4 linked regions of the Struthio camelus genome follow. The protein of the gene in region 2 purifies or fractionates together with the protein of the main gene of each other region. This does not show direct contact. Links are inferred from orthologs where the notes say so. Each region holds a gene or a part of one and is shown on either strand. Other genes may lie near its edges.

Region 1 (7,882 bases), on a different chromosome or scaffold from region 2:
TACCAAAGCATCAGTCATCCCTTCAACACATGCAACTATTACTTGTATTACAGCTTCTTCTCCTGCATTGAGTTTGGCGTAGAGATCATCCAAAGCCACGGAACTGGAAATGCTTTCCCATTCAGCACAGGCAGCTAAGACTGTACAGACGGATTATTTCAGGACATCAACTACCTGAGGAGGTACTTTGCCAAGACAAAATACCCCTGTATTACTTCAGTTATTTTGGCTAAACATCATCAGTACTGCTCTTTGCGGGAGTTAATCTATCTCACTGTAGCTCTTCCCATCATACAGAGACATTCTCATTACAAGCCAATATCCGAATCCTACAGTGAATTGCAGAAACAACATACAGAGGAAAAGCTCTGCTCATATCAGCACTATCCCAGCAAGATGGAGGGGTCCTTCTTTATTCATTGCATTTCAGAGTCAAGGCCACAAAGCAAAGTGACCCTACCACTTCAGAACCTTCCCGGACTTTTTAAAGCACAAAACATGATCTTAATTTTTGTAAAGCTGTACCATAGGTAGCCCTTTCCAGGGAAAAGTCACATTAAGCCTCACAAATACCTCTGTTTCCTGCTTCGTTGTGGTTTAGAAGTTTCTTCGTAAGGGTTTTGAAATACATCCAAAAATATTGGTTCAAACTTTTTGAAAATCACAGTTGACACTTCAAAATTTCTCTCCAGCCTCTCTACTCGCTCTCGGAACTCCTGTGGTAGATTTGACATGTCCATCCACTTTTTCATTTTGCTAAAAAACTGAATTAAACTTCAAAGAAAAAAGAAAAATCTGTTTTATTTTGAGCTTTAACTAAGTGTATTTATTCTGTGAATTTCTGACCAAGGCAAAATGCCTTTATTTTGATGCACTGCCAAACTGTACACGTTGGAAGCTTTTAGCTTCTGTATTTATTCCTCTTGACTCTCTTGAAGCCACAGACATGGAAAAACCTTACTCGCATTCAAAGGCTGCCAGCACAGCAACGCTGGTTAAGGGAGGGCTACAGACGGAAAGAGCGTACATAGCTACGCGACTGTTAAGGGGGAGGGAGGGGAGGCAACAAAAACATGAGTCCATGCCTATCAAAGCTACCTAGACAAAAAAACATTAAATGCAGGTGTAATTACAGCGGCAAAAATCCCTTTGGCAGTCCAGCTGAAAATGGTTCTTTAAATGGAACATGAAATTCATTCATTTCAGTTATATCATTGGTTACAATTATAGTGGCAGCATCTATGTAAGCAGAGCTATCTACTGGAAAAACCTTGAAGCACATAAGTATTTATGCAATCGCGCAGTTCTGCGTCCCCAAAAACGCCAAACGACATAGCAGTCAAGACCGAATCTGGCAATTTGGCCTAAATCCCGAGTCAAATACAGGTTTTATCTGGATTACTAATGAAACATTCAGAAGTCTCAATTGTGTTTCAATTAACTACAAAAAGAAAAAACCCAACTCTGTGGGTGGAACAACTGTTAGTCTGATGTGGGTGGTTTTTCAAAGGATTGAAGTTGAACTCGGAGGGAAAAAAAAAAAAAAAGTATTTGCATCTTATTTCCATTTGTAACGAAAGAGGATTTATTGCTTTTACAACGTTACCTCGGGACATGCAAGTTTTGCAGTGCTTGGAGTCTTGACAAAAATAAAAGCCTGGGTGCCTAAATTACTAAGCATACGCTAATGGAACAATAAATTACTACCTTACATACTGGAAGAGTCAGATTCTGGGACTTCCACAATAAGTAACAACGTGAAAAAATTAACCTTAATTTGGCCGAACGTAGTATCCTGGTCAGCGAGACGCAGTTTCCTTCCATAAGGCCGCTTCCAACGGTCGGAATGACGCTCTTGCGGCAGGCGACGTACAGAGCGCATGCCAGCCAATGGACAACTTCTCCCTGCCAAACCACAGCAAGGCACCAGACTGCTGAGCCAGGAAAGGCTGCGCTCAGCTTACACCTCAGCTTTACAGAGCCTCCAAAAACCTCTGGTGACAATAACGAGAACCAGCATGTGGGGAGCTGGAGGGCTTTCTTCTCCGCACGTTTTGCGGAACTTATACAAAAACATATATCTATGCGCATACACATACACAAGGAGGTTACTGTTCTGTTTTTCCATTCAACTTGCAATAATAGAGAGGGCAGAGGATGTATTTTTTGAAAGAAAAAACAAAAAGTACACAGTGTAATTTGGCCACCGAGGCTAATGCAACAGCTGACATCTTTCAGACTCCTCCGGATATATTTTCTAACTGAGGATTACAGTAAGCACATGCCCATGTGGCTGAAGAGAAACGAATTTCAAGTAGAACTAATGAGTTCTTAAGACCAGGTTTTTGCAATACGCTTTCCCATTGAAGAGGGATTAGGAGATAAACGAATAGTGTATTGGCTGCATATTTGCCACCTAAATTTAAAGGGCGGTTTCAGCACCCAGCCACAGCCGAATCAGCTCCTACCAGCAGCGGCTTTTTCTGGGCGTGCAAATCTGTTTCATTTGTTATTTGACGAGCTCACACTGGCCTCTGCGCTCTAGCGCTCACAAGCGACGGCGAGTCGGAGCCACAGGAACCCCCGAACTGCTCCTTCCGGCCCAACCGCGGCAGCCCGGGGCGGCGGCAGGATGACAGCGGCCCCGGGCCGGGCCGCGCCGCCGCCGCCCCGCCCCGACCCACCGCGTCCCGGTGCCCCCGGGCGCGCCCGGCCCGCGGGCAGCGACGAGCGCGCGAAGCGCCGCGCCCCGGCGGGGCCGGCCGCCCCCGCGGCACCCGCTGACAGGCGGCGCGGCCCGGCCCGGCCCGGCCCCGCCGCCCTCACCTCCAGGCTGTAGGTGCCGCGCAGCGCCGTGAAGTCGCGCAGCGCCTCGGCGGCGCTGGCCGCGTCCAGGTTCAGCTCCTGGCAGAGGCGCTCGACGGCGGCGCCGGGCTCGGCGGGCGGCGGCTCCGCGCGGGACATGGCGGGGCCCGGCCCGGCCCGGCCCGGCGGCTCCGCTCCCGCAGGCCCCGCGCGCCAACTCCCCCTCACCCGGAAGGGACCGGCCCCTTCCGCCGCGCCCCGCCCTCTTTTGGCGGGAACGGGCGGCGGGGCGGCGGCCGGGCCCGGCGGCGAGGCGGGCGGTTGCTGGGGCGCTCGCAGCCCGTCCCGGCGCGGGGCCGCCGCTCTGTGCCCGCCGCTGCATTACCTGCTCGCAAAACGAGGATGTCGTTTCGTGGCAGCTTAAGGCAAAACAGTGTTAACGTGCTGTTTGTTATCGAGGTAATGAGGACTACCGGTTCCCGATTACCGGTATTATTAAAATCAAAACGAAACGTTCTGCCCTCTCTCTCGTTCTCCTTTCATTCATTTATTTTTTGGCAGGTCCCACATTCACAGGGTCTTGCGGCAAGCTGGTTCTGGGACGTGATCTTGTTACAATTTTTTTTTTTTTTGGTTGGGCTCATCTCTGCCTGAATACAGCCCCCAAAGCGGCCGGCCATGCTCTGCTCGACTGCCAGCGCCGAGGCGGGGAGCGGGTGGTGGGGCGCGGAAGGATTTTTAATTGGCTTAAGCTGCTGGGAAGCTGTGACCCCAGGGAGAAAAATGGGATGTGACGGACGAGAAAGGCGCTTTCAGCTGCTGCAGTCAGCTGTCAGCAGATCGGAGGGGAGGAGAGGGGCTGGGCTGGGGAGTTGCCGGGGGGACGCGACTGCTTGGCCACCTGCAGCATCTCCGGCCCGTGGGCCGGGAGGGCAGCAGGTAGCGTCTGGCAGATGCCGCGCTCAGCCTCCTCGGCCAGGAACCGCAGAGTGTCCCCAGGGCAGGACGGCGGTTCCTGCTCTCTGGGGCCTCGTGACAGCAGGCAATGCTGGTAACGACGCTGCTGTGGAAAGCTGGCTAGATCGCTTTATTTTTCAGCATTGATGTGGCTGCATTCATCGATAGCTGTTTGTGCTATTTTTAAACGGGCTGACTACAAAGACCAGCAAGAAACAGTTGATGACTTTAAAAAATATTCCCAACATCAAGATATGAACGGGCGCCAGGCAATCCGCCTCAAACTGGAGGGATTTTCTAGCAAATGTGCAGCGAAACAGCTGGCAGAAGTAAACGCAGGACCCGCCCCCGTCCTGCGAACGTGGGGTTACACGTAGGGGGACGGGGGGCGGCGGGGGCCCGGCCGGCCACCGACGCCGCCCGGGACGGGCCTGCCGCGCCACCGCAGCGCCGGGCTGGCAGGCGCGCTCTGTGGAGATCAGAGCAGCTTGGCGCTCGTTGCCGAAGGTGGAACGCAGGTGTCCTCTCGCGCTGCGCTGCGCTTCGCTCCGGGGTTGCGCTGAGGCTTTCTCCGTGGAAGCGGAAGCACAACGCGCGGGCAAGTTTGCGCCAAACAGCAAGACCGTTTCTTCCTTCTTCATCATCACCGGTCTCGGTGTAACGCTGCTGTGCGGAGACGCCTCCGTGCCGGGCTTTCCGGCTGGCTGCAGTCGCTCTCTCTAACACCCTTTGCTCTCAAATGGCAAAGATCCTGGGGCACCTGTGATCCCACTGACCTTTGTCTTCTCCTCTTTACCTGCCGAAACTCCAGGGGTATTTCATGCCGTCACCTTCGCTGTGATACGAAATGAACCGTTTGAGAGACCTGAGCCGCATCCTTGTTTGTATACCCCACCTTGGGTTTAAACTGGTACTATTACCGCTGTGGGGAACGATTAATAATTTTGAAAGAACTAAAATAACAAGCATATTTACGCCTTATCGTTGAGTGAACCTAAGAAGTTAGCCGGTAGGGACAGGCAACCACACAGGGACAGGTGAGCCACTATATTACTGTTGACTCTCTGCCCACTGAGAAAACCACAGACTTTGTGTCCAAGCCGCTGTTCAGGAAAGCAGGAAAACACTGTCATTTCACGGGGGCCCTGCTTGCCATGCTTGCAACCAGGGCCGGAGTCTGAGGCAGGGGAGGATGCACTAACTTTCCAATGAGAGGGGCGGGCGGCTTTTAGGGAGCAAAAAGAAAGAAGACTAGAAAAGAAAGTTAGAAACGTCTCAGGGTTTGGACAGCTTGTCCTGTTTGAAAGCTTCCTTAAAAGTGACTTAAACTCATGAGGCCGATTTTAAGCCACAGTAGCTGCAGCCGCTCTTCCCAGCAGCCGTGCTGGTGCTGCACCAGGAGAAACCGGCGGGCGAAGGGGGACGAGGTGGGCGCGGGGTGAGCTCCGCAGGCTGCCCCGAGGGCTGCGCGTGCCGAGGAGGGGGGCTAGGAGGGCTGGGGCTGTTTGCAGCTGAATTTGGGGCTTACAGGAAAGAGAGGGAAGAGCTGCTGAGGACAGTGAGGGAGGGATGGTCACAGGCAAGGAAGGAAGTGAAACCACGATCAGAGAAATGAATCTGAGGGATGTTCAGTATCTGGCCGCATCAGTGCTGACAATTCAAAGTACTGCAGCACAAACATTTATGGTACATCCAATTAAGTTCAGTCGCTTTTACAAGTAGAATGAGGGCATTTGGCCCCTCAGTAGAGATATAAACTGGAAAACTGCTCAGGTAACTCCAGTTTCCCATCGTTCAACTGAGCACAAGTTACCTACTTTGTAAAGCGTTCAGCCCCTGTTCTGCGGTGCCTATAAACATGTTTTTGAAAGTTATTCCCATTTGTGGGATTATTCATAGCTTTAGAGTTAAGCATGTACTTAAATACTTCGCTGGATCAGTGGATCTGAGTGCATGTTAAATTTAAGATGTTGAAGCTCAGCGTTCTAATCAAATTTCAGTCATAGGATCAATTCCCTTTAATTTAGTTCAAGTGGAAATTCAGAGGCAGAACAAAATTGCCAATTTGGCTTAATTAGTCACAGACTGTTAGCATTAAAATAGCACTAATGGCTGAGGTACTTCAGAGCACTCCAAATATTTGCTGGGAATATATTATCCCCATACAGGCTTTCAAGTGCTGTGCTGGCTCCCAGCTGCCTTGCGGTGGGCAGCAGCAGTCCCCATACTGGGTGATGCTGCGCAGCACACCTGTACCCCATGTAAGGGTTTTGCAGGCCATTAGGCATGTAAAAGTACATTTATAACCCTCCGAGCCAAAGGTTCCAGTTACAGGTATTCGGCCTTTTATAAGGTGACAAAAAAATTATTGGAGACAGCGTGGAGTGAGCATGACTTCTTTAGCTGGGAGCTAAAATACCCATTTGAGATGGAAGGAGGAGACCTGTCTTTCAAGCCCCTTGCTTCAAGACTACTTGTGTTTTTAACAGTAAATGGTCCGGTGCATAAAATACATCTTCATGCGCTGGAATAGGGCACCTCTGGAGCCCCAGCACCCCTAGAGCAGGTTACCAGCCTGATTAAGTCAGGTCCAGCAGACGCGCTTCCACATCATGTTAAGAGTGCCTCCCACGCTCTTCCTCACTAACTCGTGAAACTGCTGTTCATGAGCAGCTTCAGCAGTACCAGCCTCAATGACCCCCTGCGAGGAAGCTCACACAGCAGCTTCTGACCTGCCCTAATTTATGATGGGACAATTTAAAGCAAACAGGTGCTGACTTTAGTTTTTATTGAAACGTTCGTCTGCAGAGTGCAGAGGCCTAGGCACCGTTTTATGAGAAGTCGCTCTAGCTCTGCAGCAGGAATTACACACAAATGGCAACGCAACAACTTTGTTTGCAGTTGCCACATAGATTGTTCCCACGCAAGAGTTAATAGTCTTTAGTTACCTAAAGCTGTCAGTACTTTGGGTAAAAAAGGAGCCACGCTATAGTAGAGCCTGTTTCTCACTGAAAATCGGTTCAACTTGGAGGCTTTTGAAACTGTTGCTTAACCTAAATACTAGCTTTAATCCAAGCACCTACATATGTTTGAAAAAGATTTGCTCTCAGAGAAAGAAAAACTGAATGCCATGAAAATATATGAGAAGAGCATTTACTCTGATAAAGCAGTTTACTAATCAGAATCCCACAGTCGTATTTATTCCTCCGGGTACAAAGAAGCAGAAGGAAAGGCCTTCTATGAGGGGACCTGAGTTTTTCTTTTGTTTGATATATACATCTGCTCGGATATTAGAAATCTGGGTTCTTTTTCTCAAAAAATGAAGTTAGTCACTGTGGGGGCTTTTGCTTTTAAAATTTGTCTTTCTAAATGGTAGAGGCTATTCCTGTAAAACGCCTCTTTTTGCTACAACATATCCAAGATACCTGTCAGATGAAAAACATATTGGTCAAATGCTTTGCAGGAGCCAAGACAGATGACAAAACACTTTGCAGAGCATGTGCTGCAGACTCCCACTCTTCTCAGATGCTCTTGCAACACAGACTGGGGCTATTCCTTGAGAATTCCCCAAAGGATGGTGCTATTCTTGTATGAGCCGATACCTTCACCTAGACTAGTTATTGGAACTTGGAATGCCAAGCTAAATCACTAACGTATCGTGCTTATCCAGAGCACTGACAAATAGAGGCCACTTAATTGTGCCAAACTGAGCCATTCCAGTCCCCTTTTGTTAAATTCAAATTAGATTGCAAACGGTGTGAGACAGGGAAATGCAACTGATTTTCTACTGGACTGGAGTTCTTGGGTTACTTTATGCCTTTTGGGCTGAGAGGAGCTGGATTCTCCAGTTATTAACGGCTGCTTAGCACCACACTGATGGTCTTGAGCTACCCTTGGGTGTGCAGTGAAATTGCCAGTTCCCAAAATTCACATAGCGGGAAGTGGAGGATGGTGCCCCACTGGCTTCTGGGCCAGCTACGCAGTCTGAAAAGGGCACTATGTGGACAGCACAGGAAGGGAAAGAGGTGACAGAGTGGATTTCTCTTACCACTAATTCTCCAGAGTTGCTATCCCCTTCTCAAAGCCGCTGCTCCGTCTGCTTCTGTCCACGTCACGAGGA
Region 2 (7,204 bases):
TCTTTGATAAAAGAGAAAGTAAGTAGGTACACCTCTTTATTTTATTTATCACTGTAGCCATCTGTCATGCCTTATCCTATTCTTCTTTTAGATGACAAAATCTATATTTTCCTACCCAATACCAATAATAACCATCAGTACTGGAACTCTTTGTTTCGACTGCATACTTTCTGTGGTAGTCCTGTACCTTTGGAAGCTCTTGGATTCTCTAAGTTCCAGTCACAGCCATTTCTATACTGGTCCTAAGTCTACTTTGTTCATAGCATAGATATAAATGAAGACTAAAAATAGAGGAAAACAGGAAGGATTATATTTTTCAGTGTAATCATACTGAAAGACAGGCAGAAAGAGAGATAGTCAAGGAAGGTTGACTTTAAATTTCTGATTAGGATAGTACAATGCTTTGAATGTTCTATATTGCTTCACTTTGCACTTATTGAACTTAGAGAACCTTGTACTGTTTTGTTGTTTCTTCTGCATTTGTTCTGTTTTTCTAATCTGTCGTATATTTTTTCTCCTCTTTCAATTTTATTTCTCTCAGATCTTATTTCTCCACACTGTACTCTTTCCTCCTCATTTTTCTTTTTAGGTACTATTTTTTCTTATTTTGTCCTCAAGTTTTCTGCTTATTGTTACTTTTTCGACCCAAAATATACTGTGTGTTCTAAGGTCAGAGTGTCTGTTGGGCAGAGAAAACCAAGTATTTCTTAGGAGGAAGTCTACTTGATTATAAAGATGCAAAATCCTGTTTTAAAGTGTGACACTGAAACGCTGTCTAAACCATCCTTAGGTTTTTGACGGAGAGTAAAAAATATTGCAGAACTGGGAAGAAAAGGATTATCAGTCTTTCCTCTCTCAGTCTTTTCCTCTCTCTTTCCTTTTTTCCTAAAGAAAAAATTGTAAGATGTAGTAACTCCTCATTATGTGGAACGAAGCAGAAGTTAGCAAGTGTTTGGATCCCCTTCTTCTGGATCAGTCTCTCTCTTACATATTCTATTTCAACTACTTCTTTCCAAAGCTGATCTCTTAGGAGCTCTAGGTCTCTTGCTGTCTGTGTTTACTTTTGGCCTATTGCATGGAGTTCACCAGCAAACTCAGCTAATGTATACCCTCATCTTCTATCCCTTATTCCCCCTCATGTCTGTCTGTGGAGTACCAATGTTTCAGTTATTCCACAACAACCATTTGTGGGATATGTTACATAACAGATCAGGGAGCTGATCTGGTTTTAAAAACAGAAGAAAACTTAACTGCTTGCAAGCTGAGAGTCTCTGCTTGGAAGACCGTCACTTCCCAAACGCTAGACCCAACCTTTTCTCTACCTGCAGCACAGAAGAGGACTTCTAGCTACTAGTGATGAGATAAAGCTCTGTCCTACTACCAGCCTATGTGCTAGCTTTCCAGGTGGGCAGGATTTTGGTATAATCCCAGCCTGGAAGGCCCTAAGATCTCTAACCCTAGACAACTTACCTGCAGTAGAAGACACAAGACCTACTCCCAATACATATGGGCAGACAACTCCATCCTGATGCCAGCTCTCACCCTAGATCTGTGGCTGGAGCAGGATTCTGGTAGAATTCTAGTTCATGGGGGCCTTGTTCCTTAATTTTAACCATTAACAGCTTCAATGCTTTTGAGCTGTTGAGTTACTGAACAAAAAATTTTGTAGACAGTTTGTGTGTGTATGTATATGTGCTTTTAATGTAATGGACATTTAAGAGAAGACTATTGTACAAGAGAAGAATAGTGTAGGTTATTGATTATCAAGATTATAACAACAAAACAAGACTATGTAGTTGTTATATGCTGGGCAAAAACAAAAAAAAAAAAGGCCATCCCCTTATGTCCAATAGGACACTTCAACTTTTTCCTACACGCTCTGTGTGTTCTCAGCTCCAGTTGCCATATACCCATCTCTGCAAGCTTGGCTATAGCCAACAAAATAAAAGCAGAGGATTACAGAGCAAGTGCACAAATGCATGAGAATTCCGTAATCTGTTTAAGCATTAGCCAAAAAAATTATAAGTTGTTACATGCTGTATAACATAATGTAATATAGTAAATGCCACAGTATGTTTGTATGAGCTTTGTAGCTACCCACACTGAACAACAGAGCTAATCTTCCATTGCATTTTTCTGCTGCTCCATGTCACCATCCAGAGTAGCAAGGAGATTTTAGCAAGATTTACAACATCCTGATGGGGACAGACCTCACTGTCACCAGCGTATGAGCTGCCCTTCCTTAGAGGTCAATTGGACTGAGCTTACGCAAGACAACTAATGCTTTCTAGGTATTTTTGATTTCTTGTGCAATATACCATGCACGCAGATATCTTAGGACAAAATATGACAATATTAACATGGGAGTCTTTTGAGCAGAAGCAGGTGAATCTGTATGCCTTTGTTACACTGCAGAATATGCATGTTGGCTTTCCTCATCCTGGGGTAAGAATTGCATTCTGATCATATTCTAGGGAAGAAAGACGTGTAGCTTAAAGTGACCTCTCAGTCTTTCCAGGAGTGAGGGGAATGAGAAATGACTGCTTAAACCCACTTAAACCATGCTGCTCCTGAACACCTACCATGGCTTTAAGGTGCAATTTCATGGATGACTTAACTTAACCTAACCCCATGCTGTTACTCAATGGGCTGGTCCCAGGCTTCCCTCTGCCGTGTGTTCCTGCCCTATCCTAGCCGTACAAAAGAGGTTTTCCTGTTTTCTGTTTTGTCAGGGTCGGTGTGTCAATTACTCTATGCTAGCACTCCTGTTGCTGTAGAAAAGACACAGAGGGACTAAATAGCTAGAGGTGGAGAGGGTGGACTGCTATTTTCAACAGCAACAAATTCTTAGCTCAGTTGAACTGCTTGTAAAACTGCATTTGTACAGCTATGGTTAGATAATTGGGGACATACTACTTTGGCTGTTACTGCACCTACCTTTAGCTCTGAAATTCAGAAAGAAATAAGGAAACAGAAGAAGAAAAAGTAATGGCACAAGTGTTAGTAGTATGTCCTAATTTCTTCAAGGGGCAAGGCTGACTGTGAACTAAAACAACAAGGTTAAAAAAAAAAATCAGGTGTCAGAATTAAAATACTAGATGAAGGCCACATTTTACTTTTTGGATCTTCATGGATGCTCCTGGGGGAAAAACAAAAAAAAATCCCTAGCGTAGATTTACATTAGTAGTATACGTTCCTAATTCCGGTCCGTAATAAAAAGTGGAATTAAGTCTTCCCTCAAGAACCCAAGGCTCCCTTCCCCACCACATACCCACAGCGTGAGTGCCACACGAAGCAACACCTTTTTAAAATATTTATTAAAAAAAATGAATATATCTATATTTAAATACATCTTTCAGTGCGAGATGGAGAGGAACCCTGCGCCCACCAAGCCCCCATGACAGCCCTCTCCCAGCTCCGAGCAAGGACACCCGCGGCCACAACGCCCCGGGCGGCCCCCGTCCCTGCGGGGGGGCGGCCAGGCTCCCTCCAGAGCCGCCCGGCCCGCCGCCGGGTTTAGCCCCTCCGCAGCCGGGCGGGCCCCGCCACCTGCAGGCCGGGGAAAGCCCCGCCGCACCCGCGGCGTGGAAGCGGCTCGGGCGGAGAAGCGCGCGGCTCAGCGCGAGGCAGCGGCCGTTACCGTTACCGGCCTCGCGGCGCGAAAGGAGCGGCCGCTGCCCCTCCCCCACCGCCTGGGGCCCCAGAGCGCCGGGGCCATCCCGGCCCGCAGCGGCGCGGATATCGTCACATGCCGGAGAGGCGCGGGGGGGGGGGGGGGACGAGGGGAGGCGGCAGTTGCCCCGGCGACCAAGCCCCGCCTTTTACCCGTCGCTCTCTTCCCCACCCTCCCCACGTCAGCGGCTGTCTCCCGCCCGGCCCGGGTGGGGCGCAGGGGTAGCGTGATTGACAGTTGCCATAGTAACAGGCTCGCCCTCGTCGCCATTTTGTCAGTTAGCTTTTTTTTTTTTTTTTCAAAAAAAAATCCCACCCTTCCCGCCCGAATTGTGGAAGGTTTTTTTTTTTTTCCCCTTCCTACCTCCACTTCGAAAAAAAAAATTATCAAGCAAGAAAACGGAATTCCCTCCCCCCCCCCCAAAAAAAAAGAAAAAAACAACAACCCAAAAAACTGTCTTGGAGGGCCCGGCGGCGGCAGGCGAGAAGTTCGCCCCACGCGAGCGAGGAGAGGCTCGAAGCGGCGGCAGCGGTGCGGTGCGGGGCCGGCGCAAAGCCCTGGCGAAGCCGGTTCTGGAGGGAGGGGGGAAGAAGGAGGAGCGGGCGGGGAGGGAGGGAGGGGGAGGAGGTAGAGGCTGGCAGGCGGGGGAGGGAAGGAGAGAGGGAGGGAGGGAGCGAGGAGTTCCCGGGGGCTCGGTACGGCGCTGCGCTTCCCCCCCCCATCATCCCCTCCTCCTCCTCCTCCTCCTCCTCCCCCCGCCCGCTCGCGCCCGCCCGCCGCTGTCCCCGCGCTGCCTGGCCGGGGCTCAGGCCGCCGCCGCCGCCGCCGAGCCGAGGCCGGGCCCTGCCGTTGCCGCCGCCGCCGCCGGGCGCTGCGCAGGTTTGGAACGCGCGCCATTTTGTGAGCGATAGAAAATCCAACCCGGCCAGGAAGCGTCGCGGATCCGCCCGCCGGGCCGGGCCGGGCCCCCTCTCCCTCGCTGTCCGCCGCCCGGAGAGGAAGGCGCGCTGCGGGCAGCCCCCGCGGCCGCTGCTGCCCCCCCCCCGCCCCCCCCGCACTCCGAGCGGCACCGGCACCGCCGCCAGCCGCGCGGGCCCGAGCGCGGCGGGGCGGCCGGACTGCGGAGCGCACAAGAGGGAGGCGCTGCCGTGCCGGGGCCCCTGGCCGAGGCCGGGGGAAGCGCTCGCTCCTCGCTCTGCGTGTGCCCGCCGCCCGGGAGAGGAGGCCGGAGCCGGGCGGCAGCCAGGGGTCCGCCGCCCCCCCCCCACGGGTAAGTGAGACGCCTCAGCCGGTGGCGGGGAGCTGCGCAGCGGGACGAGCTGGTGCCACCTCCCGGCCCGGCGCGGTCGAGGGGGGCGCAGCGCAGGGGGCAGCTCCGCTGCCATCTTAGAGAGAGGAGGTGGGGAGAGCGCAGGGGCCCGCCGAGCCCCCGGCCGGAGCTGGCAGGGCCCGGACCCGCACCGGGCTTTGGACCCGGCCTTCCCGCCGCCTTCCCTACCGCTGCCCCCTTCTGGGGAGGGCCGGGAATGGCCGGGGGCAGTGCTGGCGGCCTCTGCGCGGCTCGGAGGCGGCGGCCGCCTCTGCGGCCCTTTTTCCCCTCGGCGTGTAGGGGAGGCTGTCGCTGCCGGATTGGGAAGCGGAGCGGCGAGGAGGGTTGCGGGACCGGAGATGGAGGAAGGGAGTTTGCCTGGCTTCTCTCGCTCTTATGCGCAACGCCCTGCGGTGGGCGGGTGCGAGGTCTCGCCCCGGTCTGGGAGCAGGGAGAGGGGGCGAGGAGGGTGTCAGGAGTTGAACAATCAGCTGAGCAGGCACCTGTTGTGGTGGAGGCTTTAGGTGCCCCTGCCTGCACCCCTGCAAGAGACTCGCGTGGTAGGTGGGGAACTTGGAGGCCGATGAAGAAGGAGTACCTGTGTATGATTACTGTCATCTGGGCTGGGGGTGGGGTGGGGTGGGGAAGAGGGGAGAGAAGCATTGGGCATATGCACACGGGCATACAGGTGCTTCTGTATTTTAGTGGTTGCCTGCAGTCTTGTAGGAATTCAGCTTTGTGTTGCTGAGGAAATTAGAGACTGCATCTGAAACATAGAGTGTGCTCTCTGTGAAGTGGCATTTCCTCCTGCCCCCCCCCCCCCCCCCCAGAATCGGAATACACAATTAAAAGAACTACAATTAGGAATTTTGAAATGGGTGCGTTTTTGAATCTCAATCAGCTTTGAAGTTTTCAGTTTAGCCTGTCCAAAGACTATGCAGGGGTTCTTTGATCATGTGTCTAGATTGCTGCTGTTACTTGGTTCTCCTATTACTCCACAGTTATTGGGGGAAATAAACATTCATTTTTCTTTAAAATTAACAGAGAGTATCTGACTACAAAATAAATCAACAAGCATGTTTTTGACAATCTACCATTTTAATCATGAAGAGTGTGTCCTGTTAACTTTTGCCAGTAGGCACATGCAGTCACTTTTACATGAATATAATATCCCAGAGATCTAGATAGGTAGAATTTAATTTTTTATTATTTTATTAGTATTTCAGTGTCCTTTCCCTAAGAAAAGGAGTGTAAAACTGAAGAATACATCAATGATGTCTGGCGACAAATAGGCAAACATTTTGTTTGTAGTAGCATTCAGTTATCTGCCTGTAACTGTGTATAATTTGACTTCTGTCAATGGAATAGTCTGTAGGCGTAAGAAGTTTTGGAAAAACTTGTTTCTCCTTTTCTTGCCCTTTACCCTGACATCTGTAGATTAGATATTTTTGGAAAATTTTACTTAATACATTTAAAATAATAACACTGAAATTAATTTTGAATATGAGCTGGTATTTTTCTGTTAACTATTAGCCAGATATGTTTAGTGAACTTTGGGGGGGGGGGGTATATAGATATATACAGAGAGAGACTACTTTTGTAGGATATGCTTAATGTTTTTGGCTCATATGAACTATTTAGAATTACAACTTTTTTATTTACAGTCTGAAGTAGAGCGTGTTGTGTTAAATTTACATTTTCTTCTGTGAATTAAAAATTCCGGCAAAGTCTCCAAGACTTAACAGGTTTAATTCATTGATTTTGAATATTCTTTGAATAAAGTAAGAAGTCTGTCTTGTTCAAAATTGAATACAGAACATAGTCTTAAATCAAGAAAGAGGACAATTCACACTCTTAAATTATTGTGCACCCATTATAATTGTTTCGAGGCTAATAGAAAGTTTTTTACATCAGTAACAATGTTGAAGTTACTGACTCAATACTTAGGAAGATTTTGGACTTGTCATTGGAACCCCCCTCCTCCCATGTTGGACAGTTGCAGAGAAGCAGCAGCAAGGATAATTTTACCAAATAGCAGCCAAGAATTTTCAACGACAGTTTATGAGTAGTGTTCTATTACTTGTGTAAAATAATGATGTAGTAATCAGGAATTTATCAGTTTTTAAAGTATATGGGTTTTGTTGAGAGTGGGAATTTACATATGATGCTCATAAATGACTTATCGCACCCATGTTAAGTTCACACGGAGTAACGTGACCGCT
Region 3 (7,298 bases), on a different chromosome or scaffold from region 2:
TATGGCTCAACTGGACAACGCCAAGAGATACAAAATGGAAGTTGACTGTTATTCCTTCTTGTACACCACTAGGGGACAGGGAGAAAAAAAGCAAAATATGGTATGTAAACCTTCTCAATAGATGAAAATTTGTATTTCCTATTTAAGGATAAAGCAGTAGAATTTACAAAAGCTGTAAAAGCAAAATTAAATTGGTAATTTAACTACATTAAATTAAACCCGGGCTTTGTAACTTTGTATGGTAGGTTAAGCAGAAGAAATATATTAATTAATCTAACATTAAAATACAAAGAGAAATCTCTATTTCTCTATCTGAAATAGAGATTCATAATCTCTATGAATCCCTACAATAACCATAAATATTTTGTTAAATTGATCAGGAAACTACAAATTGTAACAAGTTCAGAAGATCGTTAGCCTAGTTGTAATCTGCACATTCACCATGACAACGTTTGTATTATAAATCAACAGCTGTGACCTAATGTTGAAAATATGCCAAAAATATGCATAAATTGTATCAATATTTGCACACGCAACCTAGAGCATAAATTAGTTGATACTCAGCAATTAAAGCTTCCTTTCTGAAGTTGCAATATTTAAAGGTTAAAGATTAGACATGCTCCCTCTTGTGTTAAACTAAGAATACATGGAATACATGCTGTTTTCTCTGACATGATGGTTGCTTGGCCATCTGTTCCATTAGGCAAACCCTTCAACTTTGGCTACTAATGTCTGACAAACCTTCACCAATAATTCTCCACTGTAAAGACTGACCCAGTCTGAGCACAAAACTGTACCAAAGGAATCATCTCTTATTTAGGCTACATTAAATTAGCTACTCTCTTATCGAAGAGCACCATTGAGGATATTACCCATCAAAAATATGATGTGAATAAGATTTTTGGACATAAATATACACAACTTAGTAAATTACATGGAAAGGCACACATGTTCAATCACTACCAATGTTACACATGGGCCTAAAGAGTTAAAAAGTGCCAAGTTCAAGCAGTTTAGTAACATTAATGATATGGAATATTAAGCTAATATTTAGAAGGACATTTTCTATTTACAGACTATTTAAAATAGACTACGCAAATACAATATGAAGATCTTAAAATGCTACATAAGCACGCTGCAAAACACAGCACCAATTGAACTAAGTTTCCAGTCCTCCACTCAGTGAGATCAGGTAAACCATCCCCTGCACAGCACCCTCATGGAGTCAAAATCCTCCTTACACAAATCCTCTTGCAGAATCTGGCCCCAAGATCATGTCTAGGCATGAATGTCAAACCCAGGTGCAACTAATACAAATGATTTTACCAATATACTTTTAAACAAAGGCTTTGCACCTGGTGTGGGCTTGGCAAATTACATTTAGGCATACATTTGCTGATTATGGTCAATACCAGACAATGCTAGGGCAGCAATGCAGCTCAGAGTAAACACAAGTAGACAGTTTGCAGTCCAGATCTGAAGGGAACACTCAGCTACAGGAGTTCACGCATTTTCTTTTATTCACCATCAGCCCTTTGTGCCAGATACATGTTTTCAGTGCAACTGGCCCTATGTAAATTAGAAATGAACGTTACTAAATATTCTACAAACATGTCTTAGTTAAAGAAGCCTTGCTCTCTCAAACTATCAAAGTGTGTTGACCTTTCTGGAAATATCTGTGTTTCTTTTTCTACAGTCTTCTGCAGTCCAGAAGCAACATAGCCACAAAGTTTAGGAAAGACAACAAAAATATCACAGCTACTAGTGTATAAAGGTTTAGGGGTTTTCTTAAAGCCTTAACCCACAAAAGCACACTACCTAAAGCATAGCCCATCACCAAGGCGAGAACTTTCACGAGAAAGGGGAACTCTGTCGCTGGCTTCGACGACATCAGAAAGGAGGTCGCAGCGCTCCACGCGCGACCTCCGATCGGTACGTCACCCCTTCTGCGGTGCTGCGCTGCACACCCAGCACCTCCGCGGTCTCGCTCACACAGCGCCTTCCGTCTTACCCACCAAGGCGGTGAGAAACTCCGCGCAGGATGCCAAAGAGGAGGACGAAAGTCATGCGGTTTTGAACCCCCAAAACACCTCCCTCTCCACGTTAACTTTTATATCGACGCTCTGAGGATTAATACAAAACCTCATATGCCGGGTGCTGCAAAGAAGCCAACAGTTTCACGAGCGCTTTTATTCCCTCAGACACATAAAGTCGGGGCGGTCGGCAGGATCAGGCCCTTTCCACACACACCCAGCACCCTCACTTCTCCTTTAAACCAGTCCTTTTCATCCCGTGACCCGGCGACTCCTGGGGGAGCTGCGGACCCCTCTGAGGCACCGCACAGCTGTCACCGGGGCGAACGAGCAGCGTTAAGCCGGCCAGAGGCAGACCCACGACTCCATCCAAACACAGCCGGGAAACGGCCAAGCGAAAGCGGTTGGGGGGGGGGGGAGGTAGGTGAAAATCACTAATCTAAACCCATAACGCGGCGCGGCAGCTGCCGGTGGGGGCGGCTCCTCCGGTGGCCGCCGCCGCCTCCTCCCTCCTGAGGGGACCGCGGGAGGCGGCCCGGCCTCGCTCCCCGATGGCGACGGCCCGGGGGGCCGCCAACCCCCCTCGCCGCCCTCCAGGGAAGGCGCGACCAGCCCGGCTGCCGAGGCGGGCGGCGGAGGAAGAGGGAAGGGGGAGGAAGAGGGAGGAGGAGGAGGGGGGGGAGCCGCTCCCGCCCCGCTGCGCAAAGTTAGCGCCGGCCCGGCCCGGCCGCAGCCGGCGGGGGAGGGCGGCCCCTCGGGGCCTCCCCGCCGCGGAGGGCAGCGTTGGCTCCGCAGCGGGCTGGCGGAGGGAAACCGAGGCGGGCGGCTGCGAGCCGGGCAGAGGGAGCTGAGGGGAAGGGGACTCACGCTGTCTCCGCTATTTAAACCTCTTCCCGCCGCCTCCGCCTCACTGACTCTCACTCGCTCTCTCCTCCCCGCGGAACTTACTAGGGGCCGGCCCCCTCCCCTCCCCCCGGCCAATATACACACGGCCCGCACGCCCGGCCGCCGCCACCGCCGCCGCCCCGCCCGCTCGCCCCAACCGCGCCGCCCATTCGCTCGACTCCGTGCCCGTCAGCTGGGCTGCGCGAAACCATTGGCTCGGCCGCTTGCCTGTCAAGTGGCTCTGCGCATAGGCCCCGCCCCTCGTCCCGCCCCTCTCCTTCCCGGACACCTCGGGGGGTTGTTATAACGGCCGTTTTAAGTCACCATCGAAATTTACTTTTTAGGTCCCACCCACTTTGGGCTACAGGAGATTCTGATTGGGCCAGGGGAAAGCCTCTCCACCGCGGCTGGGCGGCTGCGCGTCAATCACCACTAAAAGTCCCGCCCGGAGGCATGGCGTCATCCCACTTGATTTGTCCGCGCTGCCGGTCGGTCCCGCCCATTTCCACAGCTTGCCCAATCAGGCGTGGCATCTCAAGCGCGGAGGCGGTGTCAAAGGAACGTGCAGAAGGCCCGCCGTCATTGGTTGGCGCCTGTCTGCCCCGCTGTCGCTCTTCCGCCACTACCGTCCCGTGGAGCGTACCACGCGGCGGGGGGGGTGGGGAGAGAGGAGAGGGGGGCGGGCCGGCGGCAGGAGCGAGCACCGTTGGTTCGGCCCGTCTCCATTAGGGATGGCGAGGAGGAAGGCCTTTATTGCCCGTCATGCCGCGCGCGCTGTAGGTAGCTCCCTTTGGTCCGGGCGGGGGGGGGGGCGGGGAAGGAGGGAGGAGGTTGATGCCTAGTCCAAGATGGCGGTGCAGGAATCAGCTGCTCAGCTCTCAATGACTTTGAAGGTGCAGGAGTATCCCACTCTCAAGGTGGGTGCCGAGCTTCTCCCCGCCGCCGCCACACGCACGGAGGAGAAGGGGCCGAGCCTCGGCCAGCGTCTCGGCGGGGCGGGAGCGGCGGCCTTGCCCCCCCCCCCCTCGTTCCCCCGCCCCGGCCGCTGCCCGGCTCAGGCGCCCCTCGGGGGGCGGCGGCGGGTCCCCACACGCACTTCTCCCGCCGCCCTCTGCCTCGCCGCCGGCCCTCGGGGCTCGCAGCGCCGCGGTTTGTGCCTCCCCCCGCCCCCTTCCCCCTGCGCCGTGGGTGAGGGACGTGCCTGGAATATGGTGCTGCTGCTGCTGCCGGGGGCCTCCGTGCCCTGAGGTGAGCGGGGAAGGCCCCGAGCCGCACCGGCCACAAAACCGGGGGTCACCGAGAGCCGGCGGAGCTGCTCGGGGTTGGGGGGAGAGGGCAAGTCACGGCTGAGCTGGGGTGACAGGGCGAGGTGAGGGGTGAGGATGGAGTCCGGCTGGGGCAGGGGGTGTAGGGGCGTGTGAATCACGGTTTCTCAGCCCGAGGGTTGCTCTAAATGCTCGTCCCGGCTGATTAGCTGGATCTACGTGGCGTTGTTAAGAGACGTGTTAAAGGGGAGGGAGTGGAGGTGGTAGTGGAATATGGTTCCCTGGTTTCTTGGTTTTCCCCAAAGATGGAGATGAGCTAAAACATATAAAGGGACAAACATGCTGGAGGAAGGCGGGAGGCCTGTGGGGACGAGTAAGCGAAATATTTAGGGTTGGACAGAGCTTTGGTAAAAGCATGGGGTGTTTGTTAAGGTGCTGAGAATGTTTGAAGGGTGGTAGTTTCCCAAGACTGCTGCGTAGCTGGTCCTCGCTTTGAGCTAGGCATTGTAAAGCAAATGAAGGACTCGGCACTGAGCATTAAGGTCACTGCTTCTAAGAATTGTTGAACTGGAAGGATGATGCGCATAGGAATCAGTGGAAAGCTTTGTCTGAAGTCTTCTGCTGAATATACAGCAAATCTGTTTAATAGCGGTGATTGTGGGAGGGAGACAGGAGAAGGCTTCTGTATTGCAAAAGACTTATTTAAGCATCCTTTGTGTCAGCATATCGTCGTTTTTTTCATGTATAGAAGGTGTTTATGCAAAGTAAACTTTTTTTTTTTTTTTTTTGCTGAGATCATGCTGCACTTTCACCCACAAAGTACTGTGTGCTTTTTGCAGCGTTCTTCCTGTGCATGCCCTCCTTCTCCACCCTCTCTGCTTCGATCTGCTTAGTTCCAAGAAGCAGGGAAAGGACAAAATCTTGATTCCCGTTTTACGTATGACGGCTTCTTTCTGTTGCCTTCAAGTGCTTTGAAGCTGACAATATCAGGCTTAAATTTTAAAATAGCTTTGAAGAGTGTTCTAGTACTTCCACAGCCAGAACAATGTGAAGGTATTTAATGGTAAGAAGATCATTGTAAGGCCGCATTTTAGATGCGTGCAAGTTGTTATCACAGCTTTGCTTGTTACATTCCTGAAAAATTACTGGCAGTGAGGATCAATGAGTTTTTGTTTTGTTGGTTATGACTTTAGATGAGTTGTCAAGGTGCCAGCCATTTAAAAGGTACAGATTATTTTGGACATATTCTTATATTTCCCAGGCATGCTCTTCCCTCAAAGATCTTAACCAAAACACACATAAGAGAATGGAATGTGGCTTGTAGTGATGGGAAATTAAACATTTAAATAGCAAAAGGGTGAAACACCCTTGTACTGAAACTCTTAAACCCATTTCCTAGGAAAAGTGATGTCTATTGATGTTTTCCAACATTCATTCAACTTCTAGGTTGTTCCTGTAGCCTTTAATGACTTTTTTGTTGTTGTTTTAAAAAAAAAAACCCAGAGCAAAGTCTGCTCAAATCTTTTGAATGTATCCTCTTAAATGTTTCTAGCAGTGGGTCGTATGTCAAACCATTTTAGTGATGAAGGTGAAAAGGCAGCAGGGGAAATGAACGTTAGGACTGAAGTCCATAAAAGTATATTGATATCAAATCCCACTCAGTTCTGTAGGAGGCAAGTGCCTAAAAGTTTCTCAGGGACTAGGCCTCTGAGCTTCTAGTTTATTCAGATGCTTTGTGTGAAATGTTTTTTTTTTTTTTTTTTTTTTTAAATGGCTACCAGTGTGGTAGTTAAGATATTTTCTTAGAGCTTTGGACATTGGTATTTTTCCATGATATGAGTAAAATATAAAAGATTGTAGACTTGTATTTATATCCTTCCTGTTTCTTCCCTCTAACTTCCTCATGCCAGCATCACTAGATAATAGTTGTGTAATAGCTCTGCATTTACAGTATGTTCTACAGAGTGCCTTCCATGTGAACGAGTGCTTAAAACTGCAAAGGGAAATCCCTTTTCCATAGCTGAATTGTGGTCACTTCAGAAGTGGAAGTGCCTCAGCCATTCTTTAGTAATTCAGCTCAGGAACAGTGAATTTGGCTGAACCTAGGGAAGCAGTTTAAGTATACAGAATAATACTTGAATGTTTTATTGTCATATTCTCTCTGTCCCCCCCCCCCCCCCCCCAAAATCCTTACTGCTTTGTCAAGGACAAGAAGGTTATCAGCTGTTTTTCCACAGTGCTCTGGAAAAAAAGCCTACTGTTAGAAATTATGCTAGTCTCATCTGGAAGCATACAACATGGAAGTCTACGATTTGAAAATAAATGAATGCTAACATTGTTATCCCTGTTCTTTGCTGAAGCACTAATAAAGAAGTGATGACAGGAAGCCAGAGAATTTGTCCATATCTTTAGAAGCATAAATAACTGTTAAACTGAACTAGCAAAAACAATGGAGTAAAACCCATTTTCAGTAAAACTGAAAGAGGGAATACCTGGAAGCAGGGATGGCCACTCCTCAAAATAATCTTATCTGGGCTGTTCATTGGTAACAGCTTAGGGTTAGCTGGGCTGCAGTTGCTTTAAAAAGCAGCTGATCTAAAAGAAAGCACAGGATACTTGAGCACCTTCTCAGAGCTGTTGGTAAGCTTCTAGGGTTGGCAGCTGTGGGAAGAAAAAAATACTGGCAGCAGATTTAATACAATATTAATTTCTGCTGGAAGTACACTTATTTGATCGCTACAGAGTGGAACAGATAGGAGAATATGAATAGATAAAGTGTACATTGTTTCTGAGCTGAGTTCACAGAATAGCTGAAGTTGGAAGGGACCTCCGAGATCATCTAGTCCGAATCCTCTGCTCAAAACAGGGTCACCTAGAGCAGGTTGCTCAGGGCTTTGCCCTGTCCACTCTGATTTTGAATATCTCTAAGGATGGAAGCTCCAAAACTTCTCTGGGCAATATGTTGTGTTCAATCGCCCTTACACTGAAAAAGGGTTTTCTTGTGTTTAAATGTAATTAATTGTATTTCAGTTTGTGCCCACTGCCTCTTATCCTTTCACTGGCACTGAGAAGGTTCTGCTCTGTTTTCTTTACTACCTTTTATCAGGTATTTACA
Region 4 (7,110 bases), on a different chromosome or scaffold from region 2:
GCCCCATGGGGTGTTGCTACCTGTCATACAATAGGCATAGCACAGCAAAAGTAAATAATTTTTACTCAAGCCCATAGACATAATGACAACCAAGCTTTAGAAGCTTTCACCACAGCTCAGTTTCAAAATTTTAACAGTGCAGGATACGTACTTTGGTTCTCTGAGGAAACGGGAACTTCTCCCGCGCATTCAACATACACAGGCAAAATTTTCCAAAAGAAAAAGTGATTCATTTTAAGCCAATAAATAGAGAAATGCCATGTAACTATTTTTACAGCAAAAGCAGGCTCCGGAGAAAGGAGAGGTCACTCTTTTTTGCAAGTATTTGTTTAGACTTCATCTTTCTGGGAAAGGAAAAGTGTTTATAAAATATAGCGAAAACACAGGTGCCGAGAAACCACTGCAGTTGCAAAGTACAACCAAGTGAATCAATCAGGTTTTAAGACAATATACAATAAAAGATCCATGCATTACACAAACTAGTTAAATTTTTGCCAGCTGAGCCATCCTGAAACAGTTCTTTGACATGCAAAAGCAAGGACTGCAAAGCCAGTGGAGATGCAGGTACAGCTTTGTCTGAAGAGATCTGAAAAGTATCAGAAGTTTTACCAGTTACTCCTGCCACCTCCCCATCCCCTTTTGCAAAGCAAAAACACAAACAAGAACAGATTTTCTTCTCTTTCTTTCCACTCAAGTCTTTAACTAAAATTCAATTGCTCTCCTACCAGTTCCACTTGTTATGGCTGATTTCCCTTGATACAATCCAAAAGGTATCATCACACAGCAACAAAATCATATGGACGTCCACAGTATTTCCAAAGCCAAGGAGAAAGCTAGGAGCAGTGAAAATTTTTTGAAAGACTCTTTTTACATCGTATTTCTCTATTGACCAGCCTTTATCAGCATTATTAATTGGGCATTTTGTTACAAAATTTTGCTTCAAAGATCTATCAGTGGGAAACGCAGACAGTGTTGGAAAGGTCTCAGAAATACACTCTGAGTACTAAGAAAGGACTCAAACTCCTTTCTTGACCCACACTGGATAGTGCTTAGATAGGCTTCTTGCAAACTTGCAGCAGAGATCCACGTGGAACTCACCTGTAGATCAGGGCCTTAAAAATAAGAATATCCAGCTTTCATGGATAGGGTGTGGGAGCTTAACTATACCAAGTGTCAGTTACTTTTGAATTTTCAGATTTATGGAAACTTAACGTATTTAGAATTCCTTCAACTTCCACCGAAAAAAAGCATAGTATTTTCATTAGTAAGAAAGGTTAAAATTAGTTAAAAGTAAAGGAATCACGCACATGATCTTTCATAATGTTCCTACTAGAGTAGGGCAGACATTGACATACAAGACTTCACCCCCCGCCCCCAAGAAACCACATCCCTGCTGCTCAGGTGTAAAGTACAGCACTTAAAACACTGCAGTGGGGACGGCCCTGAAGAACCTTAGTGCTAAAGATGACAGAGCAGTTGTAACTTCTCACAAAGAAGCTGGAGCAAGCTATTCTGAAAGTCTGATGGACCACACACTGCTGCACCAGGCACCAGTTCATAGAAAGGGAGATCGTGAACATGACAAGCAGGAAGCACTCACACAACTAAAGCACGTGTGCGGGGAATGTCCCAACAAGCCACCACAGTACCAGCAATTCCAGAGCCCGGAGTTCAAAACCTAATTTCTAATATTCCCCTCTAAAAACATGGTCTTCATTAACATGCCAAGAGTTCAAACATACATAGTTTGAGCGCAACTTGGCCAAACACCATTTCTAGATATCTACTGGTAGGTAGAGTGTTACTCCTGAACATCAGATACTAGTACTAGCTACAAAGCTTTCAACTCTCCAGCAAAAATAAAAAAGGACTAAATAATGTTAGAAAAAACATATGCAACACAAGGTATTTGACAGACCCATCATACCCATTGCTTTAGCTCTTCAGCTCCGTCTGAGGACAAACCAATGAGTAATGAAAGTATATGGCATACGTATTCTAAGACATGGCATGCATTCCAGTTCCCCTTGAAAATGTACCAACTTTCAGGCAGTTGACAGTGTTCACACTACGGGGATGATAAAGAGCACTGGAATGTAGCCAAATGTTGTCTGATGAAGCCCCTTCCTCACGCAACCCTACACAAAGGTTAAACTGAAGTACCTGTGACATTTAGACCCCATCTAGAAAGGGATGAGTAGTTTTCAAGTCACTCAAACCTCCTGTGCTTACCTACTCTGCTTACCTAGGGCACCATGTTAGATTTTGAAGGCGTGCTACAGATGGTATAGATTAGCCCCATTTTCATATGCAAGTTTCACTTTGGACACAAGAAAGAGTGCAAAAGAACCTACACAGCTTTCCAATTTCCAATTAATTTCCAGTTTTCCAACTAATTCAATGCATTTATCCTTTATGTCCCCCCCCCTTCAGAGTTACATTACAAACAAGTAGGTTTAAGAAAGGTCAGCCTAAAACTAACGGACTCCACCACACGCTTCAGATGCCCTTTTAAAGTTTAGAAGTTGAGTTTCTGAACTGATAAGAACAGAACAACGCAGCCTTCCTTCACATCGGTCATCTCTGAAGTGCTTAACGCATTGTACTTGTTACAGTATTTCCAATATACTAAATTGTCTATACACCAAAACACTTTCAGAAGTCCTCAGTCACCGTATTTCTGATGACAAAGAGGGTGGATTGTGCATACTCTATCCAAGCGACACGCTACGCTCAGGAAACGGTATGTTCTAGCTAGCGAGAGTAAGACTATTTCAGCATAAACAGGATCAAATGGCATCTTACTGAGCTACCCTCTGGCTATTTCCAGGCTGACCGCTCATTTCAGTTAGCGTTAAATAACGCAAATTCCACCTGGGGAACTCCCAAGCCCTCCGATGAGGGCCCAGAACAAAGTTACCCCGTACCTCCGCGCCGCGCTCCTGTGCTCTGGGAGACTCGCCGCTGACGCGCTAGCAGCTTGCACGGAACCACCTCCCAGCGGAGGCACGGTGTGTTTCAGGGTACCTGAGCCGGGCACAAGCTAGCAGCCGGGGAGCGGCATCCCGCTCGCTCTCTCACGCTACCTTCGCAGTGAAGCCAGCGCCAGATAAAACAACGTACCTTGCTCCGCCAAGGAAGGGCTCTTCCGCGCGGGTTACGCGGTCAAGGCGGCTGCTGCCGAGCTTTCGGCGTGTTTGCCAGCTAAACAACCCTCCCCCCACACACGCGCGCGCGCCCCGGCCCCACCGCGGGACGCGCCCGCGGCCTCCGCCGCCCCTCAGGCCGCGGCCTCGGCCGCGCACCGCGAGGCGCCCGGGCGCCGCAGCTCCGCGCGGCCGAGGCGCTTAGGGGGGGAAAAAAAGGAAAGAAAAGGGCAAAGAAGGGGAAGGAGAGGAAAGGAAAGGCAAACCCCGGCGCCGCCGCGGCCCCGCGCCGCCACATGGCGCCCGGAGGGCGGGGCGGAGCGCAGCGGCGCGGCCACGCGGGCGGCCCCGGCCCCCCCCGGCCCCGCCGTACCTTGTGGGGGGGCTGCCGGCCGCCCGGCGGCGCCCAGGCCAGGCAGGTGCAGGCGGCACTGAGGTGGGCCGAGGGCACGTACTCGTGCTGCAGGCGGCTGCCCGCCGTCTCCCACACGCGCAGCCGCCCATCCGCGCCGCACACGGCCAGCGAGCGGCGGTCGCCGGGGGAGAAGGCGCACGGGGCCCGCGCCGCCGTTGCCGCTGCCTCGCTGCTGCCGCCGCCGCCGCGCGCCGCCGCCATGGCGCTCCCGGCCCGGCCCTCGGCTCCGCGCCGCTCCGCGCCCCGCCGCGCCGGCGCACCAGCGGCCACGTGCTCGCGCACCGCGCACGCGCGACCCCGACCCGACCCGACCCCCCCCACCACCGCCGCAGCCGCCGCCGCCACCGTGGCGTCAGCGCGCCGCGCCGCGCGCCGGAAGTGACGCTGCGCCGGCGCACGCGCGCCGTGTGTGGTGGAGACGGGCAGGTGGGGGGAGCTGCTATCCGTGCCGCCGCCGCCGCCGCCGCCGCCGCCGCCGCCGCCGCCCGCAGCCGTTAGCGGGGGCGGCTCTCAGCTCGCACCTCCCCCCACACCCCCCCCAGCGCCTCTCGGCCGGCGCCATGCGGGCCTGGCGCGGCCTGCGGCGGGGCCCCGCGGCGCCCTCCGGGCCGGCCGCCGCCTCCTTCTCCTGCTGCCCCGGCGGCGGGGAGCAGCAGCAGCAGCGGCGGCGGCGTCGCGCCTGGGAGACGTCCCTGTCGCCGCTGGAGCGGCTGAAGCGGCTGCTGCCGCCGGAGGTTGAGGCGGCGGCGGCCGGTCTGGACGCTGGCCCGGCGGGCGGCGCGGGCCGCGGCCCCCTGCGCCTAGGGGAGCTGGCGCTGGCGGAGCTGGGCCGCGGGCAGCGCGGCGCCCTGCGGCTGCTGTGCCGGCTGACGGCGGGCGCGGCGCTGGCCACCCCCCGCGGCCTCCTGCCGCACGACGACATCGTGGGGCGGTTGCCCGGGCAGGTGGTGCGGGCGGCGGGCGGCGGGCGGCTGCTGGTGCGGCGGCCCTCGCTGGAGGAGTACGTGCTGCTCATGGCGCGGGGTGCCGCCATCGCCTACCCCAAGGTACCGCCGCGCCCCGGGCGGCCGCCGCGTCTGCCTCCTCCCGCAGGCTGGTAACGGGGCGTGCTTTGTAACCCGCAGGATGCGAGCGCCATGCTGATGATGATGGACCTCCACCCGGGAGACACCGTTTTGGAAAGCGGCAGCGGATCCGGCGCTCTGAGCTTGTATCTGTCAAGAGCAGGTAAGGCCCTAGGTTAAGCAAGCGTAGGAGCAACGAATTTCTTCCGTCGCTTGCTGCTTTTCCATTCATCAAGATCTTGAAGTCTGTTTTTCAGGCTTTGCTGCAGTTTTCTTATTTGTATATACTCCATTGACTTAAGGTAAAATTAGATCTGTATCGATCCACTTCCTTACCTTTCTCAGTTTCCCTTTTCTCACTTTGCTGGACCACGTGAATAATCAGCGTGTTGGCGTGCTGGGTGAAAACATCTACATGGACACACAGTGTTGTTTCATGTTACACCTAACCTGATTTGATCTGGGTGTAGGTGCTCTGAAAGGTAGAGAGCCTTGGGCCATGCTGTCCTGCCCTCTCCCTTGCACTTCTGCCGTCTGAATCTGTTAGTTAGCAGCTGGTTTGGAAAGCGAGTCTGGCTGAAAGCTATTCTTTTCCTTCCTCTAGATCGTAGGTTTAGTTTCCTGCCAGTTTCACTCCCTGAGTAAATTCACTGCAGGGTCACAGGAGAGTTGGCATTTGCAAGGGAAAGTGGCAAGCAAATGTGATTGGGGTAGTAAAGGAGCAGAACTGCTCCTCTTGGCAGCACCCAACTCTTAGGTGAGTTTTGTTCTAATGGGAAACTACACCCTTAAACTTCATCTCGCCTGCAGTCATCCTGTGTAGTGCCAGTGGACCAAACTGCAGAGTAATTTGATTGATGGGCTCCTGATAACTTCCCCAAGAAAAATAATTTGGTATTGATTTCTTTGTTTGCTGCTACTGTTTTTGCTTACACCTGAGCATTAAAGTATCGTTTGAATCTCTTCCAAACTGGTATTCTAAAAATTATTTCTGCTGATGCACGATACTGCCCCTTCCCTGCACCGTTAAAAGGAGCTATGAGGGTAAAGCCAGGAACCCCATCATAGATCATCTTAAACTGGTATAACCAAAAAAAAAAAGAAGTGGAATTTGCATATCCTGATGGCTATGTTCAAAGACAGGGTTTGTGGACAACCCACCATCGCTATAACTAAATACTTGAAGTTGCCAGCCGTGGTCACTGAACCTGAGAAACACCCACCTATCCTGAGCTTATGTGAAACCTCAACACTTTTTTTTTTGTGTGTGTGTGTTTTAGCATTTTTCACCGTTTGGTTACAAATCAGCATTATAAATTATGCTATCTTTTTAAAATGTTTATGGGTTGAGCTGTTTTTGTGATCAAACTTGGTATCATTCAACACTTCCAGATTAAAAAAAAAACCCACTTTCTAATACTTCCACTTCTAATACTTTCTAATATCTATGGGAAGTGATGCTTTCTCTCCCGCCTTCTCATGCGAGAGACAAACTGAACAAATCACCTTTTTTGTTTAAGGCTGTTAAATAACCTTAGAACGTAAGGGCAGTGAATTCACTTTCTTTTACTCTCCCAGTTGTCCAACTGTCTTTCTACATAAGTTCTGGGATAACAGCACAAGTTGTCTTAGCAGCATCTTCGGAGGAAGCTTAGTATTGAGCAAGTATGTTACTAGGGCCACCTATCCAATTCTCTTCTGGGATGCCAGGATGTATTGCTGAGGATAAAATCAAAGTTAGGAAGAGTTATGCTCAGTGAATGGTACAAACCAGAGTGCTGAGATCCAGCCGCAGCTGAAAATGGGCGTATCTGGCAAGGGCACACCAGCAGCAGAAAAAGGGAATCTGGAGGACTCCCTGCTGGACAGTTTGTTCTGCTCAGTCCAATTGTTTTAGCTGCAGTAAACTTTGTCTGGCATCCCAATTCAGTTGGAAACACTATTTGAATGGTAAGACATTAAATGCTGCCCCAAACTCACTCAATTGCAGGTCGTCTTGATGTATGTTGGGCCCAGGTTTTGAGGTTAGCAGTTCTGCCTCTGGTCCGTCTCCCTCCTTCCACCTCCCACTACTAATCACAATTTCTTCCTATCGTCTTCATATGATATGTGTTTTTTTCTGTGATTCCATGGTGGGATTTTGAAGATAGTATGCCATCATCCTCAAAGCAACCTTTGCTGCCTTGGAGCTAGAAACAAACAAAACAGAAGAGGAAAGTCACCACTTTACTTTCCGGAGATGTATTTGGAGAGAGGGGAAATAGAGCCATTTTCATCTTCTCCCATCTTCCTCTATGTGCAGACCCTACATCCGAAGGAAAAGACATACCTGTTGTTTGCTAATGCAGAAGTTAGCTTTTGCTAAATACAGCAGACTAGTTACTACATTGGATGTTCGCTACACTGTGGCCGTTTCATACAGACTCACCTGCACTTGCAGATAGTTTCTCTCCTTTTTCCGTGTTGCCTAATGGGTTCCTTCTGA

What was found.
Region 1: the proteins of DYRK1A (region 2) and RBL1 purify together in Homo sapiens (affinity purification with mass spectrometry; 3 studies listed by BioGRID and IntAct, with this or other methods). This does not show direct contact. The link is inferred for Struthio camelus from reciprocal best matches to the Homo sapiens genes DYRK1A and RBL1.
Region 3: the proteins of DYRK1A (region 2) and CTBP1 purify together in Homo sapiens (affinity purification with mass spectrometry; 4 studies listed by BioGRID and IntAct, with this or other methods). This does not show direct contact. The link is inferred for Struthio camelus from reciprocal best matches to the Homo sapiens genes DYRK1A and CTBP1.
Region 4: the proteins of DYRK1A (region 2) and TRMT61B purify together in Homo sapiens (affinity purification with mass spectrometry, with the first as the bait; 3 studies listed by BioGRID). This does not show direct contact. The link is inferred for Struthio camelus from reciprocal best matches to the Homo sapiens genes DYRK1A and TRMT61B.

The regions. Positions count from the first base shown.
Region 1 is NC_090959.1:872,791-880,672, forward strand, and holds the start of RBL1 (retinoblastoma-like protein 1), read right to left. Parts: upstream 3,006-7,882; 5' UTR 2,965-3,005; coding exon 2,827-2,964; intron 1,906-2,826; coding exon 1,772-1,905; intron 775-1,771; coding exon 574-774; intron 1-573. UniProt on the Homo sapiens protein: Key regulator of entry into cell division. Directly involved in heterochromatin formation by maintaining overall chromatin structure and, in particular, that of constitutive heterochromatin by stabilizing histone methylation.
Region 2 is NC_090942.1:122,405,419-122,412,622, forward strand, and holds the start of DYRK1A (dual specificity tyrosine-phosphorylation-regulated kinase 1A), read left to right. Parts: upstream 1-4,184; 5' UTR 4,185-4,204; intron 4,205-4,770; exon of another isoform or gene 4,771-4,943; intron 4,944-7,204. UniProt on the Homo sapiens protein: Dual-specificity kinase which possesses both serine/threonine and tyrosine kinase activities. Exhibits a substrate preference for proline at position P+1 and arginine at position P-3.
Region 3 is NC_090945.1:79,520,073-79,527,370, reverse strand, and holds the start of CTBP1 (C-terminal-binding protein 1), read right to left. Parts: upstream 3,009-7,298; 5' UTR 2,901-3,008; intron 1-2,900. Other genes in the region: E3 ubiquitin-protein transferase MAEA, read left to right, coding at 3,767-3,835. UniProt on the Homo sapiens protein: Corepressor targeting diverse transcription regulators such as GLIS2 or BCL6. Has dehydrogenase activity. Involved in controlling the equilibrium between tubular and stacked structures in the Golgi complex.
Region 4 is NC_090944.1:123,417,279-123,424,388, reverse strand, and holds the start of TRMT61B (tRNA (adenine(58)-N(1))-methyltransferase, mitochondrial), read left to right. Parts: upstream 1-4,106; 5' UTR 4,107-4,121; coding exon 4,122-4,607; intron 4,608-4,685; coding exon 4,686-4,788; intron 4,789-7,110. Other genes in the region: WDR43 (WD repeat-containing protein 43), read right to left, coding at 3,520-3,762.